4 linked regions of the Caenorhabditis elegans genome follow. The protein of the gene in region 3 purifies or fractionates together with the protein of the main gene of each other region. This does not show direct contact. Each region holds a gene or a part of one and is shown on either strand. Other genes may lie near its edges. The genes, in order: kin-18, cysl-2, msd-3 and cyn-1.

What was found.
Region 1: the proteins of msd-3 (region 3) and kin-18 fractionate together in Caenorhabditis elegans (co-fractionation; one large-scale study listed by BioGRID). This does not show direct contact.
Region 2: the proteins of msd-3 (region 3) and cysl-2 fractionate together in Caenorhabditis elegans (co-fractionation; one large-scale study listed by BioGRID). This does not show direct contact.
Region 4: the proteins of msd-3 (region 3) and cyn-1 fractionate together in Caenorhabditis elegans (co-fractionation; one large-scale study listed by BioGRID). This does not show direct contact.

The regions. Positions count from the first base shown.
Region 1 is NC_003281.10:6,116,882-6,125,063, forward strand, and holds kin-18 (Serine/threonine-protein kinase SULU), read left to right. Parts: upstream 1-1,745; 5' UTR 1,746-2,013; coding exon 2,014-2,151; intron 2,152-2,579; coding exon 2,580-2,753; intron 2,754-2,834; coding exon 2,835-3,030; intron 3,031-3,081; coding exon 3,082-3,234; intron 3,235-3,283; coding exon 3,284-3,691; intron 3,692-3,822; coding exon 3,823-3,942; intron 3,943-4,069; coding exon 4,070-4,806; intron 4,807-4,981; coding exon 4,982-5,182; intron 5,183-5,651; coding exon 5,652-5,891; intron 5,892-5,945; coding exon 5,946-6,284; intron 6,285-6,402; coding exon 6,403-6,645; 3' UTR 6,646-7,184; downstream 7,185-8,182. Other genes in the region: mvk-1 (GHMP kinase C-terminal domain-containing protein), read right to left, coding at 7,964-8,139. UniProt on the Caenorhabditis elegans protein: Acts as a negative regulator of cortical contractions during early embryonic cell division, possibly by regulating rho-1-dependent actomyosin contractility.
Region 2 is NC_003280.10:14,491,865-14,496,360, reverse strand, and holds cysl-2 (Bifunctional L-3-cyanoalanine synthase/cysteine synthase), read left to right. Parts: upstream 1-1,909; 5' UTR 1,910-1,941; coding exon 1,942-2,617; intron 2,618-2,718; coding exon 2,719-2,953; intron 2,954-3,307; coding exon 3,308-3,410; 3' UTR 3,411-3,487; downstream 3,488-4,496. Other genes in the region: vnut-1 (Major facilitator superfamily (MFS) profile domain-containing protein), read right to left, coding at 3,796-3,968, 4,152-4,496.
Region 3 is NC_003282.8:10,033,231-10,036,556, forward strand, and holds msd-3 (MSP domain-containing protein), read left to right. Parts: upstream 1-2,407; coding exon 2,408-2,737; downstream 2,738-3,326. Other genes in the region: F44D12.6 (CDI domain-containing protein), read left to right, coding at 133-189, 329-732, 1,113-1,245, 1,296-1,574.
Region 4 is NC_003283.11:14,354,277-14,357,817, reverse strand, and holds cyn-1 (Peptidyl-prolyl cis-trans isomerase 1), read right to left. Parts: upstream 1,743-3,541; 5' UTR 1,738-1,742; coding exon 1,474-1,737; intron 1,411-1,473; coding exon 1,096-1,410; 3' UTR 997-1,095; downstream 1-996. Other genes in the region: Y49A3A.4 (ShKT domain-containing protein), read left to right, coding at 463-560, 605-918; Y49A3A.3 (tRNA:m(4)X modification enzyme TRM13), read right to left, coding at 2,108-2,536, 2,583-2,833, 2,876-3,368. UniProt on the Caenorhabditis elegans protein: PPIases accelerate the folding of proteins. It catalyzes the cis-trans isomerization of proline imidic peptide bonds in oligopeptides.

The sequences.
Region 1 (8,182 bases), on a different chromosome or scaffold from region 3:
TCTGCGCAACATTTTTCTAACTTTATTCCACCAAAACAGGTGTTTTTTAGTTTAACTGTTCCTTTTTCCTTTGTCCCTTCCATCTTAAAAGAGTTTGTTTCAAAATGGCAGCTAGATGCCCCGGGCGGTCTGATAAGAGAGGAGTTTCTGGCCATGACGGTGCAATCAGTTGAAATTAAAAATATAAAGAAAAAATCAACCGTAAATCGATAACTTTTCTGGTCTTTCTTCGTCTGAAACTTTAAGTTTCTTATCATCTCAACAAATTCTTCATTTTATTGTTTTATTGAGGCAATAAGTTGAATGGAAGTTGGAGAACAATGCCATCTTAAATTGATAATCAAATTCAACAACGCTGGAATTTTTTCCAAGTTTTATCAAATTTCATAGCGCTTAAATTCCTATCAAAAAATACTTGGACCAGGTTTTTAGTGCAAACAAATGAATCATAGATGGTGATAAAGTTCTCGTTTTGGAAGGTTTTAGAAGTCAACAAATAAATATTTCCGTGCTGATATCATTCACCCTGCGTCACCTTTTCTCTTTTAGGGAAAACTTGTTATGATTTTTTTGAAAATTCATTAAACACTTCAGAAGGATTGCTAGCAATATTGCTAAATGAAGACAGGGCTAATATTTGTGAATCATTTTCTCTTTCTTTTTAATTTTAAACTATTTTGCGAAATATACCACAAAAAATGTTTTTAGTTTCTTTTGTGTTTATACCTTCATAACTATTCAACTAGTAGCAACACTTTAATTCCATGCTCATGAATTGACTAGATACTATAAGTTTAAAACTTCACCGATCAGCTTGAGAGATCCATCCAAAATAAGCTCTTTTCCAATTTCATTCTCTTTTCCCAAAATCCTCCAATCTCTTTGAATTAAGCGCCAAATAAAGTGGCGGATAGCCGGCGGTATTTTGTGCGGATTGCACTATGTTTTTTTATCATCCGTAGCCTGCGTCTCTTTGCTATTTCTGTGTATCTCTAGTTCTCTACACAATGTCTTGGCTCGGCGCCCTTTTGCTCGTGTTTGCATTGAAGACGCGTCCTCCCCTTCTTTGACGACACTTTTCTCCCCTACTTTCCATGAGATCAATTGAATTCTATAAATATTCAAGTAGATCATCCAAATATTGGTAATTGATACAATATTTAGCTTGAACGGACTGTAGTAGTCCTGAACTTCAGTTCTAATAAAGTAATCCGCAAAAGGACTCTACAAAATGATTCTACAAAAAGTTCAGTCTACGATGTGTTATTGTTTTTGCAATTTTCAGATTACTTATTCTCTAGTTCTACTCCCATAATAAATAATGGAATAAATAGAAAAAAAGTAGTGAAAGAGAGGAGAAAAGTGTTGCCGATAATCCTCTCTCCGCCACAGGCGGCAACTTTCTGATGCAGACAGGAACAGAAAATATTGCGATTTTTTCTATTTTAATGTTGACTGTTTTGTCACGCGATTTTTGAGTTTTTGGTTTTGTAAAAGTGTTAGACATTTTATGTTTAAATATGATTATGTCAAAAGTAAGTCATGAGCCTTCAATTTAAAAAAATTCGAAAAATTTACAACACTTTTATCGGTTACTAACAGCGTATATGAATATAAAAAAATTACTTCTAACTTTCCTATTTTTTCAAATCGGCAACACTTGTATCCTATTTTACTCCTATTTTACTTTTTTTAATTCTAAACTCCCCATTTCGCTTCCTTTTCATGATTATCATAATTTTCAGAGTTTCTCACATCAACCAGTTGCATCCACAATTTTCTCGATATTATCTGCAAGGAATCCTCTGGCTAATGTGCTCTCTCCGATCGACGACGGCGACGCCATCCTCGATTTTTACTCATCCATCAACAACAAAATCAAACAAGACAAGAAAAACATCAGAAAATTTCAAAAATTAATAACAATACACATTTATTAATAATCAAAAATTCATTTTCGTTGGCGCCGCGCTTCTCGAATATACGGAGAACGGAGGAGGTGGTGGAGTTACGATGGCGCCTGCCGTCTTACAAAAACCCGGTGTTATCAAGGATCCATCGATTGCTGCATTGTTCAGTAATAAGGATCCAGAGCAGAGATATCAAGATTTAAGAGAAATTGGACATGGATCTTTTGGAGCTGTCTATTTTGTAAGTTTTCTGTTTAAAAAAATTAAATTCAGTTAATTTTCAAAAAATTACTGGTGCGAAATTTTGCCATTTTTGAGTGTGCGTCTTTAAAAAGTTCTGTAATTTCAAAATTCTGTTGTTTTGAATTTTTTATCGACACTTCATAATTTTCGATAGAAAAATGTATATTAATCGAAAAAAATTTAAAAATTAAATTGTTAGAAACCCTGTAAAAATCGATTGAGATTTTACAGCAACGAACATTTGAAATTACAGTACAGACCGGGTACCGTATTTTACCGAATATCGAAAATTTTCCGATTACTTATTTCTTTTCTTTATTTTTGAATAAAATAAATTTGAAATTATTTTCTCATTTTTTGGTTCAGGCGGCTTCAAACTTTCATTAAATGAAATAAAATATATTGTATTAAAATTTTTTTTTTCAGGCATATGACAAAAAAAATGAGCAGACTGTTGCGATTAAAAAGATGAATTTTAGTGGAAAACAGGCTGTCGAAAAATGGAATGATATTCTTAAAGAAGTGTCTTTTCTGAATACAGTTGTTCATCCACATATTGTCGACTACAAGGCTTGTTTTCTTAAGGACACTACATGTTGGGTGAGATTATTTAAAAACAAAAATAGTTTTTCTATAATGCTAAATATATCAAAACGTTTAAGCTAATATTCTCGATTTCAGCTTGTGATGGAGTACTGTATTGGCTCTGCAGCCGATATAGTGGATGTCTTGCGAAAAGGAATGCGAGAAGTCGAAATCGCTGCGATTTGCTCTCAAACTTTGGATGCTCTTCGATATCTTCACTCTCTGAAGCGAATACATCGAGATATTAAAGCTGGAAATATTCTGCTATCTGATCATGCTATTGTTAAACTAGGTAATTATATTAATTTATTTGGTTTTTCAAAACTTCATTGAATAATTATAGCTGATTTCGGATCCGCATCCCTGGTAGATCCGGCTCAAACTTTCATCGGAACGCCGTTTTTCATGGCCCCAGAGGTAATTCTGGCAATGGATGAGGGTCACTACACGGATCGTGCAGATATTTGGTCATTGGGTATCACGTGTATAGAGCTGGGTGAGAAATATTTTAAATTATACTTGATAATTAATTTTATTATTTATAGCCGAACGTCGTCCACCATTGTTCAGTATGAATGCAATGTCTGCCCTCTACCATATTGCTCAAAATGATCCTCCAACTCTTTCTCCAATTGACACTAGCGAACAACCGGAATGGTCGCTGGAATTCGTTCAATTTATAGACAAATGTCTTCGAAAACCAGCAGAAGAGCGAATGTCAGCTGAAGAATGCTTTCGACATCCATTCATTCAACGGTCTCGCCCATCAGACACAATTCAGGAACTCATTCAGAGAACGAAAAATATGGTATTAGAGTTGGATAATTTTCAATACAAAAAGATGAGAAAACTCATGTATTTGGATGAAACAGAAGGAAAAGAAGGAAGTGAAGGAAATGGAGCATCTGATGATTTAGATTTTCATGGAAATGAAGCTAATTCAATTGGAAGAGGTAGTTTTTAAAATTCAAAGTGAAAATATTAATATCTTGGAATAATTTTTATAATATTGCTTTAAACCCTCAGCTTTTTTTTGCAGACTCTATCCCTTAGTTGTTCGTTTTCCATCTATTCTCGTTTTCAGCAGGAGATTCTGCGTCATCTCGAAGTGCTTCTCTTACTTCTTTCCGATCAATGCAGAGTAGTGGAGGAGCTGGTCTTTTAGTGTCCACCAATACGACGGGTGCTATGGATAATGTGCATGGTACTGTACTGTTTTTTTTGTTTTAGGAATGGCTTTATTATTTCCTGCAAAGTTCAAAAATTCCATTTATTTTAGTTTTTCTCTCGAAATTCATCGCGCAACATTGAGAATCTTTCAAAATTTTCAGGATCCTCTGGATACGGTAATGGAAGTAGTTCGACGACGAGCTCCGCACGCCGCCGTCCTCCAATTCCTTCGCAAATGCTCTCTTCTACATCAACGTCTGGTGTTGGAACTATGCCGAGTCATGGATCAGTTGGAGCATCGATTACGGCGATCGCAGTCAATCCAACACCGTCTCCTTCAGAACCTATCCCAACATCACAACCAACATCGAAATCAGAATCATCTTCTATACTCGAAACTGCACACGATGATCCTTTGGACACGTCGATACGTGCTCCAGTGAAAGACTTGCATATGCCGCATCGAGCAGTCAAGGAACGAATAGCCACGTTGCAAAATCACAAATTCGCGACGCTTCGTTCCCAGAGAATAATCAATCAGGAACAAGAAGAATATACGAAAGAGAACAATATGTATGAGCAAATGAGCAAGTACAAGCATCTACGACAAGCACATCACAAAGAGCTCCAACAATTTGAAGAACGATGTGCATTAGATAGAGAGCAACTGCGTGTGAAAATGGATCGAGAACTCGAACAATTGACAACGACATACTCGAAAGAAAAGATGAGAGTGAGGTGTTCACAGAATAATGAACTAGACAAACGGAAAAAAGATATCGAAGATGGGGAGAAAAAGATGAAAAAGACGAAAAATAGTCAAAATCAGCAGCAGATGAAACTGTATTCAGCGCAACAATTGAAAGAATACAAGTATAACAAGGAGGCACAGAAAACAGTGAGAATTCACTTTTATTTGATTTCTGTAAAGAAATTATACGAAATTTAGACTTTATAAATTTTTAAATATGAAAGTTCTGGTCACTTTTTCAGCTGCTTCTCCACTTTTTTCAAAGTTTATTATTTAGTCTTGAATAATTTTTTAAAAAATGTCCTAAACCAAGAATTTTCAGCGATTACGAAGTCTGAACATGCCTCGAAGTACTTATGAGAACGCAATGAAAGAAGTGAAAGCCGATCTGAATCGAGTGAAAGATGCACGGGAAAATGATTTTGACGAGAAGCTTCGTGCAGAACTTGAAGATGAAATTGTAAGGTATCGCAGGCAACAACTCAGTAATCTTCATCAATTGGAAGAACAATTGGATGATGAAGTTAGTTTGGAGAATTTGATTTTAACCAGAAAATAAATTTAAAAGTTTCACTAATACAAGAAAAGTCGATTTTTTGAAAATTGAAAAACGAAACATTTTCCTTTTTTTAATCGAAAATCAACAATTCCCGGTTTTCGAGTTTTCATAAAGTATCTTTAAAAAATTGACCATTTTAATATTTTTTTGAAAGAAGTTTACATATTGTTTTGTTTTTTGTTAAGTTTTTTATCAACATAAACACGATTGGATGTTTAAAAAATTCGGAAAAATCTAAAATTCTAACATTTTTATTTTCCCCTGAAAAAAATCTATAATTTTTTCGATTAACTCCTTGACCAGAAAATCGTTTTTTCAAATTGTGAAATTCATATAACTTTAAAAAAAACTTGAGCCTTTCTTCAAGTATATAGATAAATATGAATTTCTTCCCAAAAATCGTCAACAGTTACTATTCAGTTTATATATTCAGGACGTAAACGTGCAAGAACGCCAAATGGACACGCGTCACGGATTACTGTCAAAGCAGCATGAAATGACGCGCGATTTGGAAATACAGCATCTCAACGAGCTTCACGCGATGAAAAAACGACATTTGGAGACACAACACGAGGCGGAATCGGCAAGTCAAAATGAGTACACACAGAGGCAACAGGATGAATTGAGAAAAAAGCATGCGATGCAGTCAAGACAACAGCCAAGAGATTTAAAGGTATTTTTGAATTGTGGAGAAGATTTGATTTAGTTTATTCCTGAATATTTTCAGATCCAAGAAGCACAAATTCGAAAACAATACCGACAAGTTGTGAAGACTCAGACTCGCCAATTTAAGCTCTACCTTACACAAATGGTGCAAGTAGTTCCAAAAGATGAACAAAAAGAGCTCACGTCTCGACTAAAACAGGATCAAATGCAAAAAGTCGCACTTCTTGCTTCACAATACGAAAGTCAAATCAAAAAAATGGTTCAGGATAAGACAGTGAAGCTCGAGTCGTGGCAAGAAGATGAACAACGGGTTCTTAGTGAGAAGTTGGAGAAAGAATTGGAAGAATTGATTGCTTATCAGAAGAAGACGAGAGCCACATTAGAAGAGCAGATTAAAAAGGTGAGCGGAAATGTATACAACATTCTAACATTTGTGCTGAAAACTTTTTTTTTTGAGTTTTGAAGAAAATTGGAAAACTGAACTAGCTCCACTACTTCAACTAAATTTATATTTTCAGGAACGTACGGCACTCGAAGAACGAATTGGCACACGACGTGCAATGCTTGAACAGAAGATTATTGAAGAACGCGAACAAATGGGAGAAATGCGTCGACTAAAGAAGGAGCAAATCCGTGATCGACACAGTCAAGAACGCCATCGTCTCGAGAATCATTTCGTACGGACGGGCTCGACGAGCAGAAGTTCTGGTGGGATCGCTCCTGGTGTTGGGAATTCAAGCAGTATTCAGATGGCTATGTAGAATGATGTTGTCTCTTAATTCTACTACACTTCGGGTCGTCTACCAATTGTTTTCTTTTTTTGTCGTTTTATACAAAATGTATGCTTGTATGGACAATTAATTGATAGTATCTTCCAAATATCTTCCATCTAATTACGGTTCCAGTTCGTCTTTTTCTATGTTTTTTCTGCACCACCCTCATTCTCTCACTTTCTCCATGTCTTCTCCCTTCTTTTTTAGCTCCCAAAATCCAATTCTTCTGTGATAGATGAAAACCACGGCTAAACCCAATGGGGTACGGTATCCCGATCTCCGGGATACAGTAACCCCGAAAATACGTGCAATACTTCTCAACTATACCCAATTTTTCGTTCCTCACCTTCTCTTCCTAATTTCATTCAGAAACGAAACTTTAATCGGTGCTCTCAACGTTGTTTTCTCTATTTTCTCTAATATTTATAGTCTATTTGATATCTGAACCCCATCATCATATCATATATTCCAATATATCTCCTTCTCTTCTAATTTACTTATAAATATATTATAAAACTTTAATTATTTAGAAAATGCATTAACTTTAAATAACAAGAAAAAAAAAATTACAACTTTTCTGCAGAAAAGTTGTAATTTCTTATTTTTATATTTTAAGTTTTTTTGCAGATGATTTATGTAAAATAATAATTTTGGGTCGGTTTCCATAAATTGGAAATGAAAGAGTTGTTGAAAATGAAGGGAAGGTGAAAAAACATCTATGAGGGGCCCTAATCGTAACACACTGAATTTATGAAAGGGACATTAACAAAAACATGAGAATTTATCAGTTTATAAAAAATATTCTAACACTAAATAAAATTGAATTATAGCTTTCGAACGGGAAGGTTTCAAGATGAAAAATGAGCGGGGGGTTTCAGGGATTTCATATAAAAATTGTATTGAATAATAGAAAAGTAGAAATTTTTGATGGGAATGGGCGCAATTGGTGGGTAATCTTTGTTTTTTTTGTTGACTTGAGAGGAATAACATAAAATATTTAGAAAAATATAAACCAATAGAATATATAATAATTCCTACAACACACAAATCAAGGTATGAAGAATAAAGGTAATGGTAGAGACGGAGAGAATAGGCTACAAAACAAAATTTAAAAGATTTAAAAAAAAACAAAAAAAATCCAAAAAAACTTGTATTCTGAGTTGACTTTTATAAACGACGACTTGTTCATATCTCGGCTACCCAATAGAGAACAAAACACTGAAACTTCTTATTCTTCTTCCAAAAACGGAAAATATCACACACTGGGGGGAGCTGATGGGGGCAGATTTAACAAATAATGACGTCATCATTTATGTTTTGAAGCCGGCGTTGAGCACTGTGTTGACGAAACGGGCGTCTGGAAGAGCTCAGGACGTGTCTGATGTTCAACAACTCCGGGTCCGCCAAGTGGTGGCTGCCAAACTTCAAATCCATGACTGCGAAGCTCGCCGTCAATCATGTCGAGAAGAGTTTGTGGCGTGTCTAAAAATAATTTTTTTTAATTTTAGGTTTGATTTTTTGAACA
Region 2 (4,496 bases), on a different chromosome or scaffold from region 3:
TGAAAGATTGTTAAATGTTTTTTATCTGAATTTTTACGATTGGGTTGGCTGTAAGAATTTTAAGATGTTTTTTTTTTAACTTTCAGATTGTATTTTTTACCAGGGGTGGGCGGAAACCGTTTTTTTCCGACAAACGACAAATAGGTAATTTGCAGAAAATGACAATTTCCGGCAAATCGGCAAACCGGATCTATTTGCCGAAAAACGGCAATTGCAGAAATTTTCGGCAAATTGTGGTTTAGCACACTTTTTCGGGAAATTTCAGAATTTCTCTTTTAATCGGCAAAATTGTACTTATCATGAATGCTCCTACATCTATTCTGAAAAGTAAGCAAATTCTATGAAAATAATATTAATTTTCAAAATGGCTCAGTTTTAAGTATTTCCGTCTTAAAAAACACACTTCCGGCAAATTGACATCCGGCAATTTGCGGGAATTGAGAAATTCCGGCAAATTGGGAAACCGGCATTTTGTTGACTTGCCAAATTTGCGGAGAAAAGCTTGCCAAACGGCAATGGCCGCCCACCTCTGATTCCTACCTCTAAAGAGCTCTGAAAAGAAAAATTGCAAGAATCCGCTTCTGGAGCTATTCTATCGGCCTTCAGTTGGGTTCTTGAAAATATATTCACCTAAAATATTTCAGAATAGGTGCACATGTTTCCAGATGCACATGTCTTCTGGTGTTCCCCCTTTCAGAAATAATAAAATTCCATAAAACAATCTTCAATATGTCACGTACTCACTTTGATCTTATCATCCTCTCGATTAGCAGTTCAGATCATAGAACAGACTATTTGAGACACAGACACCCAATCAAATGTTTTCAAGTGATGATTTCCTAGTTCTCATCATATGGAGCAAATATGGGCGGTGCTTATAGTCCAAAAACACACGTTCATTTCACAGCGGATGGAAGTATAAAAGGTGAAGTTTGGAATCTGATGAAACATGTCTTCTGGTTTTGCACTTTTTTGTAGAAATTGTTACCTCAAGTGTGAAAGTACTTTACTAATGTGTTCCCGGCGAAAAATGATTTTAATTGGACCGTCTTTTTTTCATAGAAACCATCCAGAATTCCAGTAGTGAAAGTTCACAAGTTTCAGATAAATTTTAGGGTATTTACAGTAAAAGAAACTAAATAATTTTTTTGAAAATTTCAAAAATCTCGGATATTTTAATTGTTAAATTCGATCATCTTACAATTAGACTTCTATTAGTAAAGGCGCACACTATTTTTATCAGCTTTATTAAAGATAGGGATTCCATTTAGGCTTTAAAAAGGCAGGCGTCAAGCCCTGAAACCGAGCCTGCTTACCATGGATGCCCTACTCAATCGTAAATCGAAATAAAATAATATGTATAACTAATTTTCAAAGGTTTGTATTACGGGAACACAGTTCTGAGAATGCGCATTTACGGGCTCGATTTTTGAAATTCTGTTCATAAATAAATTATTTTAACTCATTCCGAAAATCGTGCCCGTAAATCGACACCATCACTACAGTAATCACTGAAAGAATAGTTTTCGCTACGTGATATTTTGTGCGTCAAATATGGTGTGCAAAACGCATTTTCAGAATTTTGTGTTCCCGTAATATCAATTTGATCTTCCGCGTCTACCAATAGATCAAATTACTTTGATACCAAGAAAAATGATGACAATAACTGCCGCCCGCCCTTATCGTTTACTCATCTCGCACGTATTATTGTTTTCTACCTGATTGGTCTTCATTTCTTATCACTATCGTTATATCTTTTCGTTAATTTTGTTCTTATTCTTTTTTATTACGCTTTTTGTTGAAAAGTTCGTCTTTTTGCAACATTATAGTGTAGTGGATTTAATTACTCCCTTTATTTGAATTCCTGCGAAAAATCTTTTTAAAACTCTTATTCCATTTTTTTTTTCAGAGTATTAGTTATCCTCTGCCAATCAACTCATCATGTCCCGCGAACTTATGGTCGAAACCGGTGGTGAGCTCATCGGAAACACCCCACTCCTGAAGCTCAACAAGATCGGAAAGGATCTCGGTGCATCGATTGCCGTCAAGGTAGAGTACATGAACCCTGCCTGCTCGGTCAAGGATCGTATCGCGTTCAACATGATCGACACAGCTGAGAAGGCCGGGCTCATCACCCCCGGCAAAACTGTGCTCATTGAGCCAACCAGTGGAAACATGGGAATTGCGTTGGCCTACTGCGGAAAACTTCGTGGGTACAAAGTTATTCTTACGATGCCAGCGTCGATGAGTATTGAGAGAAGGTGTCTGTTAAAGGCCTACGGTGCTGAGGTGATTCTTACCGATCCAGCGACCGCGGTCAAAGGAGCTGTCCAAAGAGCCGAAGAGCTTCGCGATGTGATTCCAAATGCGTATATCTTGAACCAATTCGGAAATCCAGCAAATCCAGAAGCCCATTATAAGACTACAGGACCAGAAATTTGGAGGCAGACACAGGGCAAGGTTGATATCGTATGCTTCGGAGTTGGATCAGGTGGAACTTGCACTGGAGTCGGACGATTCTTGAAGGAGAAGAACCCAAGTGTTCAAGTGTTCCCAGTTGAGCCATTTGAGAGTTCTGTGATCAATGGACTTCCACATAGCCCACACAAAATTCAAGGTGAGCATTTTTTTTCCAAATTTTCGGGGCTGGGGAATTGTAAATCAAACAAAAAAAAGTCGATGCACCATGTCAAAAACGGTTATATTTTCTATTTCCAGGCATGGGAACCGGAATGATTCCTGACATCCTCGACTTGACCCTTTTCTCCGAGGCTCTGCGAGTTCATTCCGATGATGCTATTGCAATGGCCAAGAAGCTTGCCGACGAGGAGTCGATTTTGGGTGGAATCTCGTCTGGAGCCAACGTGTGCGCTGCAGTTCAGTTGGCCAAGCGACCGGAGAATAAGGGGAAACTAATTGTCACCACAGTTAACAGTTTTGGAGAACGCTATCTGTAAGTTTTATATTCAATATTATTGCAGAATTTTCAGTTTTTTCCATGAAAAAAATGTAGGGCTTTCATGGGCGGTAGGCGCGGTTTCAGGACCTGACGCCTGCCTCCAACCTCGAAAGTAATAATTTAACAATGAAATTAAACTCCAAATAGACCTTCCCAAAAACTGTAAAAACCCGAAAAATTGAAAAAGTTCAAGAAAATTCGAAAGCCAAGAATTGGGCGGGGCTCAATTTTGGTCACATTGGGTAAATGTTGTTTCTATAATTTGAAAATATAAAACTTTCTCGGGAATCTTTGTCTCAGATATTAAATATTTCAAAATAAGCCCCGCCCAATACTTGGCTATTTCAGTTCAACCGCCCTCTACGCCGAGCTCCGTGATAACGCCGCCAACATGAAACAGTTGAACCTCGACGATTCCATCAAGATTGCCAAAGAATACCTAGGAATTTAAACTTTCGAATTTCATATTGTGTGAAAATGTTTCATTCCAAAAAATGTTGTTTTGGAAAATAAATAAATTTATTTAAAAAAGACATGAATATTACACATTTCGTACAATGAAAAGACTTCAAAAACCCGGATAAACTATGAATCACTGAAAATTGAGTGGGTGTGGGGAAGGGTGAACACAGACAATTCGAAGAGGGGTGGGGGAAGAAAAATGAGAAGAGGCAAGTTTATAGTTCAGAGGGGAAATGAGAAGAAGAAGAAAAGACCGATAACAAAAATTATGAAACAAGAATAAAGAAGAAGAAGAAAACTATTTTTCAAAAGTAAATCTTCGGATTCACTTCAAGAATTTTTGAAAAAAAAGTTAATGCACATGAAACAAATAATTAAATAATCTTCTGTCCAGTGCCCAGAAGTGTATAAACCATAGCTCCAACAACACACTGAGCCGCCGTCACAACGAACACGTACGACCAGTTGTTATTCGTGGCTTCCAGGATGTGACCAGCAATGTAGACACCGACGAATCCGGTGATGGCGCCGCAGGCATTGAAAACTCCTGAAAAATGGTTATTTTAATATAACTTCTTTTTTGTTTTTTTCAGGCATCAATCTGGTGGGATTCCGGATCTAAAAAAATATTTTTTCGCCAAATCAGCAATTTGCTAGAAATGCAAAGTTTGATATTTTTGGCAATCAGAAAAAACTTTCGTGCTCATGTTCAGAAGAAGTCTACCCTTACCAAAAACAGATCCCGCATGATTTGGTGCAAAATCGTGTGGATTTACGGAAACACCACCGTGGTGTAGCCCTCTGGCAGCCATTGCCATAGTGAATATGATCAATGATATCCAGAACGATGATGTCATTGGTACTAGCATCAAACAGAATGCGATTCCCAGTAGACTGGCTCCTTCCATCAATTTTCTCGTATAGGTCACAGTTTTTCCCTCGGACAGCGCACGAGACGCCATCACTGGGGCCACCAATGAGGTGACAACGATCGCCAACGATGGTACCACATTGTATACAAAACCCTTCGCAGTCGGGAATGTCTCGTGGAAATACGATGGGAGCCAGTTGAACA
Region 3 (3,326 bases):
GGTTTTCATTCTGGCAAAAAAAACGTGGTCACACTTCTAATTATCACGTTTAATCTTCCCCTCCCCCTCTCTCACTTTAAATAAAAAAGGAAAAAAAAGAGAAATATTCAATTATTTCTATTGTTTATCATCATGGATGTCTTCGATATTTTGATAAGTCAATATTGGACATTCCTGTCTGTTTTTCTGGTGAGTTTTAAAACCTTTTAGATATTGTTTTTACACAGTAGATGTGTTGGCATCATGCGCACATCGAAAATTGAATGTGTAAAGAATCCGTTATAATTTCAGAAAGTCTGTAAAATTATAACTAAACTTAACATTTCAGATTAGCATTTTAATGACAATTTGTGGCGGAAAAGTGCGCAGACAAAACTCGAAACCATCGAACGAAGACCAACAACAGCAACCTGTGTCTGAGCCAAACTACGATAAAACTCAAGATATCCAAACAGTTGAACTTCAAGAGGATCCACTTGCAAATGTTCGTCTTCTAACACCAACACTTCCTGGTGGATGTAATGATGAGAATGCGGCAAAAGAAGCTGCGCTCCGTCATAAAACCAATCAATACTTCCCAAAGTGGGAAATCCAAACACGGAGAATAACGAATGGGACCACGAAGGAAGAGATGAAGAAGATGGTTGCGCAATTGCCACAACATCCGAAACAACGGTACAGGAAGGAGTTGAGAGTTCCCGTGTTGGATAAGAGAAACGAAAAATGGAAAGAGTTAGTTTATCACAATTACAGATTTCAACGCGAAGATGCCTAAGCCTTAGCCAATGCCTACGCCTAAGCTGATATATCTTCATGCCTACATGCCTGCCTACATGCCTACATTCTTTTCTGATTTCCCGCTACCTGCCCTCGACCACCTGCTACTTCCCGGATAATCCTCTCGAAAGAAGTGTCTGCCTGCTTAGTGCCTACAAAGCGTAACTTTCCTGGAAGGCAGCACTTTTTTCAGAAGCCTTCTGATTTCACCCTAGTTTTGTATTGAGAGATGTTTAAGATACTGTCAATAATTGCCTAGAAATTGCCTAAGATAACCATTCGAGCTCGGCATGCGTGCCTGCCTATCTACCTACAATTGCAATTCTCAATTTCAGCGCCCATGTTCATTGGCGAGAGACTGGTTTGGCCTTTATTATCCGAAGCAATGATGCATGCCGATCGAAAGATGATGGAGGTTGTGACACGATCGATAGCCAAAATAGTAAAGAAGACCAGGAAAGATCGAAGGTTTGAATCAATTATTATTCATATGTGAAAAAATCTTGAAAATCTTCCAGGTGAACTCTGAAATGCCGTTGTCCGACAAGAAGCCCGACCGAAAACCGCAAGAAACACCTCGTCGCAGCAAACAACGGACTCCTGGTCCAATGATGCCTACTCAAAAATCATCCAAAAAATCAGCAAAAGAACGGAAATTGGAGCCAACTCAGGAGGAGACCATGAAGAGCGGCGGCGGTGGTGCAAAATCGGGACGAACTACTCCAAAGACAGCTGGAATGGCAACTGCAAATGCACCTTCGAATACAGAATCTGGAAAGTCGGTGTTTTCTGTTTGATTGTGATAATCTTGAATAATGGGATTTTGTTTAAATTGTTTTTTTTCAATTCAATTCAACAATAATTCAACAATAACAACAAAGTGAAGAAAGGGGAAAAATCAACAAAATAACAAAAAATTGATTCACACAACCAATGAAACGTTCTTCCCATCAGTAACCGCCGCACATTTTTGAAGTTTCTCATTTAAAATCGACTTGCACCAGCTGCGGAGAGCTCTTCAATTATGGCTTTTTCAGCTTTTTTCGTGGCAGCTGTTTCCTTCTTTACCGCTACGGCTGCTTCTTTTGGAGACTGGAAATTTTTTTATGAAATGTCTTCCCGTGAAAAAGTGTTCATTGTATTTTTCGAATATCCGCTGCAACCGGGTACTCCTTTCTTGACAAAAAAAATCGCGTATCTCAAAGTAACTCCTTTAGTGTCTATTAGTCAACAACTCAAGTAATTCCGAACCTTTAAAAGTGACATTCCAACTGAACACGTCATTGTTAGTTGACGCCAGTTAGCGGTGAATTTTTCATGTTATAGAAAATATATTTAATGACTTATTTATTTTAAATCCTTATATACATCGGAAAAAAACCTTTTTAAATTTACAAAAATATTTTTTTTTCTATATTTTTATTTTTTCCTTAACCTCTTCCACGTCTTCTCGAGAGCGTAAATAACTTTTAAAAAACTATATTTTCAAAAGGGAGCAGACAGTTGATATTAACAAACCTTTTTAAATTTACAAAAATATTTAAAATCAAAAGTTCACGAAAGGTCACTGGTTCATCTTGATAACGACTGCTATTCAGTTTATACAACTTTAACATAAAGTTTCAAAAAGATGTCTCTGACGGCCGATCCACCAGCGTGCACTGTTCCAGCTGCTGGAGGTGCTTCTACCCACAAACTTGTCAATGCTGGAGCTGAGAAGATGATCTTCAAGATCAAGTCTTCAAACAACAACGAATACCGCATCACTCCGGTCTTTGGATTCGTTGATCCATCTGGTTCAAAGGACATCACAATCACTCGTACTGCTGGAGCACCAAAAGAAGACAAGCTTGTTGTTCACTTTGCCGCTGCTCCGGCTGATGCAACTGATGCCCAAGCTGCGTTTGCTGCCATCACTCCAGCTGGAACCATTACAATTCCAATGTCGGCAACGGCTTAGACGTTTAAATCGACGAGTATGATGAGACATTTTGGAAAAAAGAGATTTGAATGTTTTGAATGAAATATTTGAATTGAAGTTTTTGGTTTTTATTATTTCACATTTGTTTCTTACTAGAACTGCTTAGTTTCAATAAGAAATCAAAGAATTTATCATAATTGTGGCTGAGAAAGTGCCCACTAAATATTTTAACCAGGAAATTGGCAGAGAAAGTGTCGAATCGACTGTAGTTGTGGAAGTTCACTAGATCATAATTCTAAGATCTCCGCTGCAACTACGTTCACCCGTTCGCCTTTTAATCACATTCGGATTGGTGCCCGTAGCTAACTTGGAAAAGTTATTAAATTAATAATTTAATTTAGACGGTGGCATTGGTGAAATGCTGTCTGTACATTTCTTCTCAATTCTGAATTCTGAATTTCTGAGCAATTTAATTGCCCGTAATTCATAAATTTCTGAATATGAGTAGTTTGACGGGAATAATCACAGATGCGATAACCATTTCTACACACAGACATAAAACTCAATATTCAGGTGAAAGCCACATTAGGAAATACTGTCTTAGGAGTCGGTGGAAGAAAACGATAGC
Region 4 (3,541 bases), on a different chromosome or scaffold from region 3:
TAACTAAAAAACTGTAAAAATCGATCAAAATTCCCCAGAAAACCCGAATTATAGTACTCTTGAAAAGCGCACGCCTTTTATGGTGCGTCCATAGTCTGCGGAAAACGGGAAATTCCCGCTTGCGGAAGCGTCCATAGTCTGCGGAAAAAAACAAGGAGTTTCTCGCTTTGTTATTGGTCAATTTCAAAATAGTGGGCGTGTTCAACCAATTAGGGGCTGTAAAATTTTAAGCTGAGCAATGGGAAAACAAGAAACAACAGCTGATTGGTTGGCCACTCCTACTTTTTTGAACTTTGAGGAAAAAAAAAAGCGAGGAACTCCGGTTTTTCCGCAGACTATGGACGCTTCCGCACGCGGGAAATTCCCGTTTTCCGCAGACTATGGACGCACCATTAAAATTAACAAAAATTTGTCGCGTCGAGGCCAATTAGTGTATTATTAACTTTTTAAATGCAATTTCAGATGTGCAAAAACCTGCAAATTTTGTGTTGACGATGACGAGTACGAAGAAGAGGAAACAGAGGATAGCCGGGAAATTCATATTTCGCATTTGAAATCCAGTAAGCTTCTTCCGACCTGTTTAAACATATTCTGAAATATTTAGAAATGGGTGAAAAAACTGTTCAAAAATTGGAAGAGTTGAAAATAGTTGACAATGTGATTGATCTTCTGAGAAATGCAACAACTCCCACGACGTTCATGGAAAAGAAACCGCGAAGGTTCTCGAAAAGAATTGAAAATATCTCATCGGAAATGACTGATACTGCAGAATGCGTGGATCGAGCATCAGATTGTGAGAGGAATCAGAAGTTGTGCACACATAGAGCCTATTCTCCACTTTTTCGTAAAATTTGTGCGAAGACGTGTGAATATTGTACATCGGCAGATGATATTGAGTCTTCTGGTGAATTTTTATAGACCATTGCTTTTGCTTTTCACTTTTCTGGTAGAAAATAAATCTGTAAGACTTAATTTTTTCCAGTTATTTTTCGAAAAAAAACTAAAACTTTACTAATTAAAAACAATTAATTAAAAAATAATAACAATTTGCTAACGCTAATGAAAAATATTTTTGAAACAAAAAAAACAATGAAGTTACTCGCTCTTCAACTCTCCGCAATCGGCGATTGTGACAGTCTTGGCTGGGGCTCCGGATCGGGATCCCATCTTTTCGATCTTCTTCACAACAGACATGCCGTCGGTGACTTGTCCGAAAACGACGTGACCTCCATCAAGCCATGGAGTGTCGACTGTGCAAATGAAAAACTGAGATCCGTTGGTGTTTGGTCCAGCGTTGGCCATTGAAAGGCATCCTGGTCCGGTGTGCTTAAGATCGAAATTCTCGTCCTTGAATTTATTTCCGTAGATTGATTCACCACCAGTTCCGTTGTGGCGAGTGAAATCTCCTCCCTGAAGAATTGAATAATGTTAATGAAAAATAGTTAAAACTCATAGTTCGAAACTAAAAATTACCTGAATCATGAACTCTGGAATGATTCTGTGGAATTTTGATCCCTTGAAGTGAAGTGCAACTCCTTGCTCTCCGACGCCCTTCTCACCGGTGCACAATGCGCGGAAATTCTCTGCTGTTTTTGGGACAACATCGTTGAACAACTCCATGGTGACACGTCCTGCTGGTTCTTCTCCAATACTCACGTCGAAAAACACCTTCGGTCTTTGAGAGGCGAATCGAAGTGATTGACCGGCAAGTGAGGAGGCACGGAGTAGAAATTTCATTTTACCTGAAAAAAGAAACAAAACTAATTCAAAAACGTGCAGAACAAAGCCATAGGATTGAATTTAAAGTGAAAAAGAAAATAAAATAAATACTAATCTGACAAAGCGCAATCAAATTCTTTGCTTGCGCGTTTCTCGTGCACGCGAAAAACGCCAAGAGATTTGCGAGGTAATTCAAATAATAACAATTTTTGTCAAATATCCCACCGTACTATTTAAAGGCGCGTGGTTTAGAATGTGTAGGTATCGCATAGATTCTAATTTTTGTTCGAAATTAATAAAATTTTGTATATTTATTTGATTAAATGTTCAATTTGTTTCGATCTATTTATTAAAAAATATTACAAATCATTTTATTAAATGCGTGATCTTATTTCAAAGCTAAAATCAATAAATTTTCCGGTGATACTTCTGGCGGCACGTATTCTACAACTCTCGTCTTGAATCCAACACTTTCCAGCCAAATTGCTCGTCCGATTTCAAGGATGGCTTTCGCTCTTCGTCCAAGCTCTAATGGCGGATGAATTGACTTCCATCCTTCAGTTGCTTCTGTATCAACTGCTCCATTTGTTGCAAACGATGCAATATATCGAAGTGCAGCAAACGAAGCTTCATCATTCATTTCCCATTTCTCCAAAAAATCATGTCCTCCATATTCTGCGAATCGCGATTTGTGATGGCAACAAGGGATCAGAAGTGCAGCGTTGAATTGTAGACCACTATTCATCAACGATCGAATTCCAGCGTCTGTCGCGCTTCCACAAAAATGTTTACAGATTGCCAAAATCTTTTCAGAGTTCTAAAAAAAGATAAAGATTTTTTTGGATAAAAACTGTAAAACTCACCTTCAGCTCATCAATCTTGCTCAAGTCCATATGTTCAATTGAGCATCGGAAGCGTTTCATTGATAAATTCGGATTCTCTCGAAATGCAGCAGTATCAAATTTATTTCGTGATCCAGAGCGATCCATGAGAATATAATTTCCATTTGGCGCTGCTTTGGAGATCCAATAAGCTAGTTGACCTTTTCCAGCTCCGAGCTCGAACATGCAAGATTTGGAGCAAGTTGGAAGTAGCCCTGTGGATTCGATGTGACCTGAAAAGAAAATTATTAAAATGGAAATGCATTTTATAAAACCTAAAATAGACGAAATCTGGTATAATTGCTTCTTTTTCGTGTTGTTCAGATCTGAATTTTGTGCGATATTTTGCTCGACGAGCTCATTTCTTTGTTGCTCAACAATCAAACGATCCATTACATCCGTCTCATAGCACTTCCAGATCTTGTGCACAGTGGTACAAATCTCATCTTCAGTGGCTCTTCGATCAATTTTATCGGTGCGTTTGGTCTCGCCACGAATAGAATTTGCATCAATTTTGATATATTCTGCATCTCTGATTCTAGAATTACACCTTGTCAGATGAATCTCTAGATCTGCCTTCAGAATCGTATGTTTTCCATCATTCGGGCAAACCATACGATCAGTGTTATTCTGATCGTGAATTGAATGCTCTCCACAGAACCGATTTCCCTTTTTCACCAGCATCTTACACCGTCGCTTCTTAATTGGTAGAATATATTCACAGCAAGCGTTCTGCTGTTGTTGCTGCTTCACCGAATCCAATTCCATTTTGAAAACGAGACCTGCGTGCGAGATATTTGTGATTTTCCTAAAGTTTATTGCTATAGTTGAATTGGTGTGTCTCAAAAGTATTATACATATCACAACACAGTAAAACGTGGTTCGTAAGACTATACGGGTTGGTTGTCGCAAAAAAAGAAATGGAAGGGCACAAGTAAAGT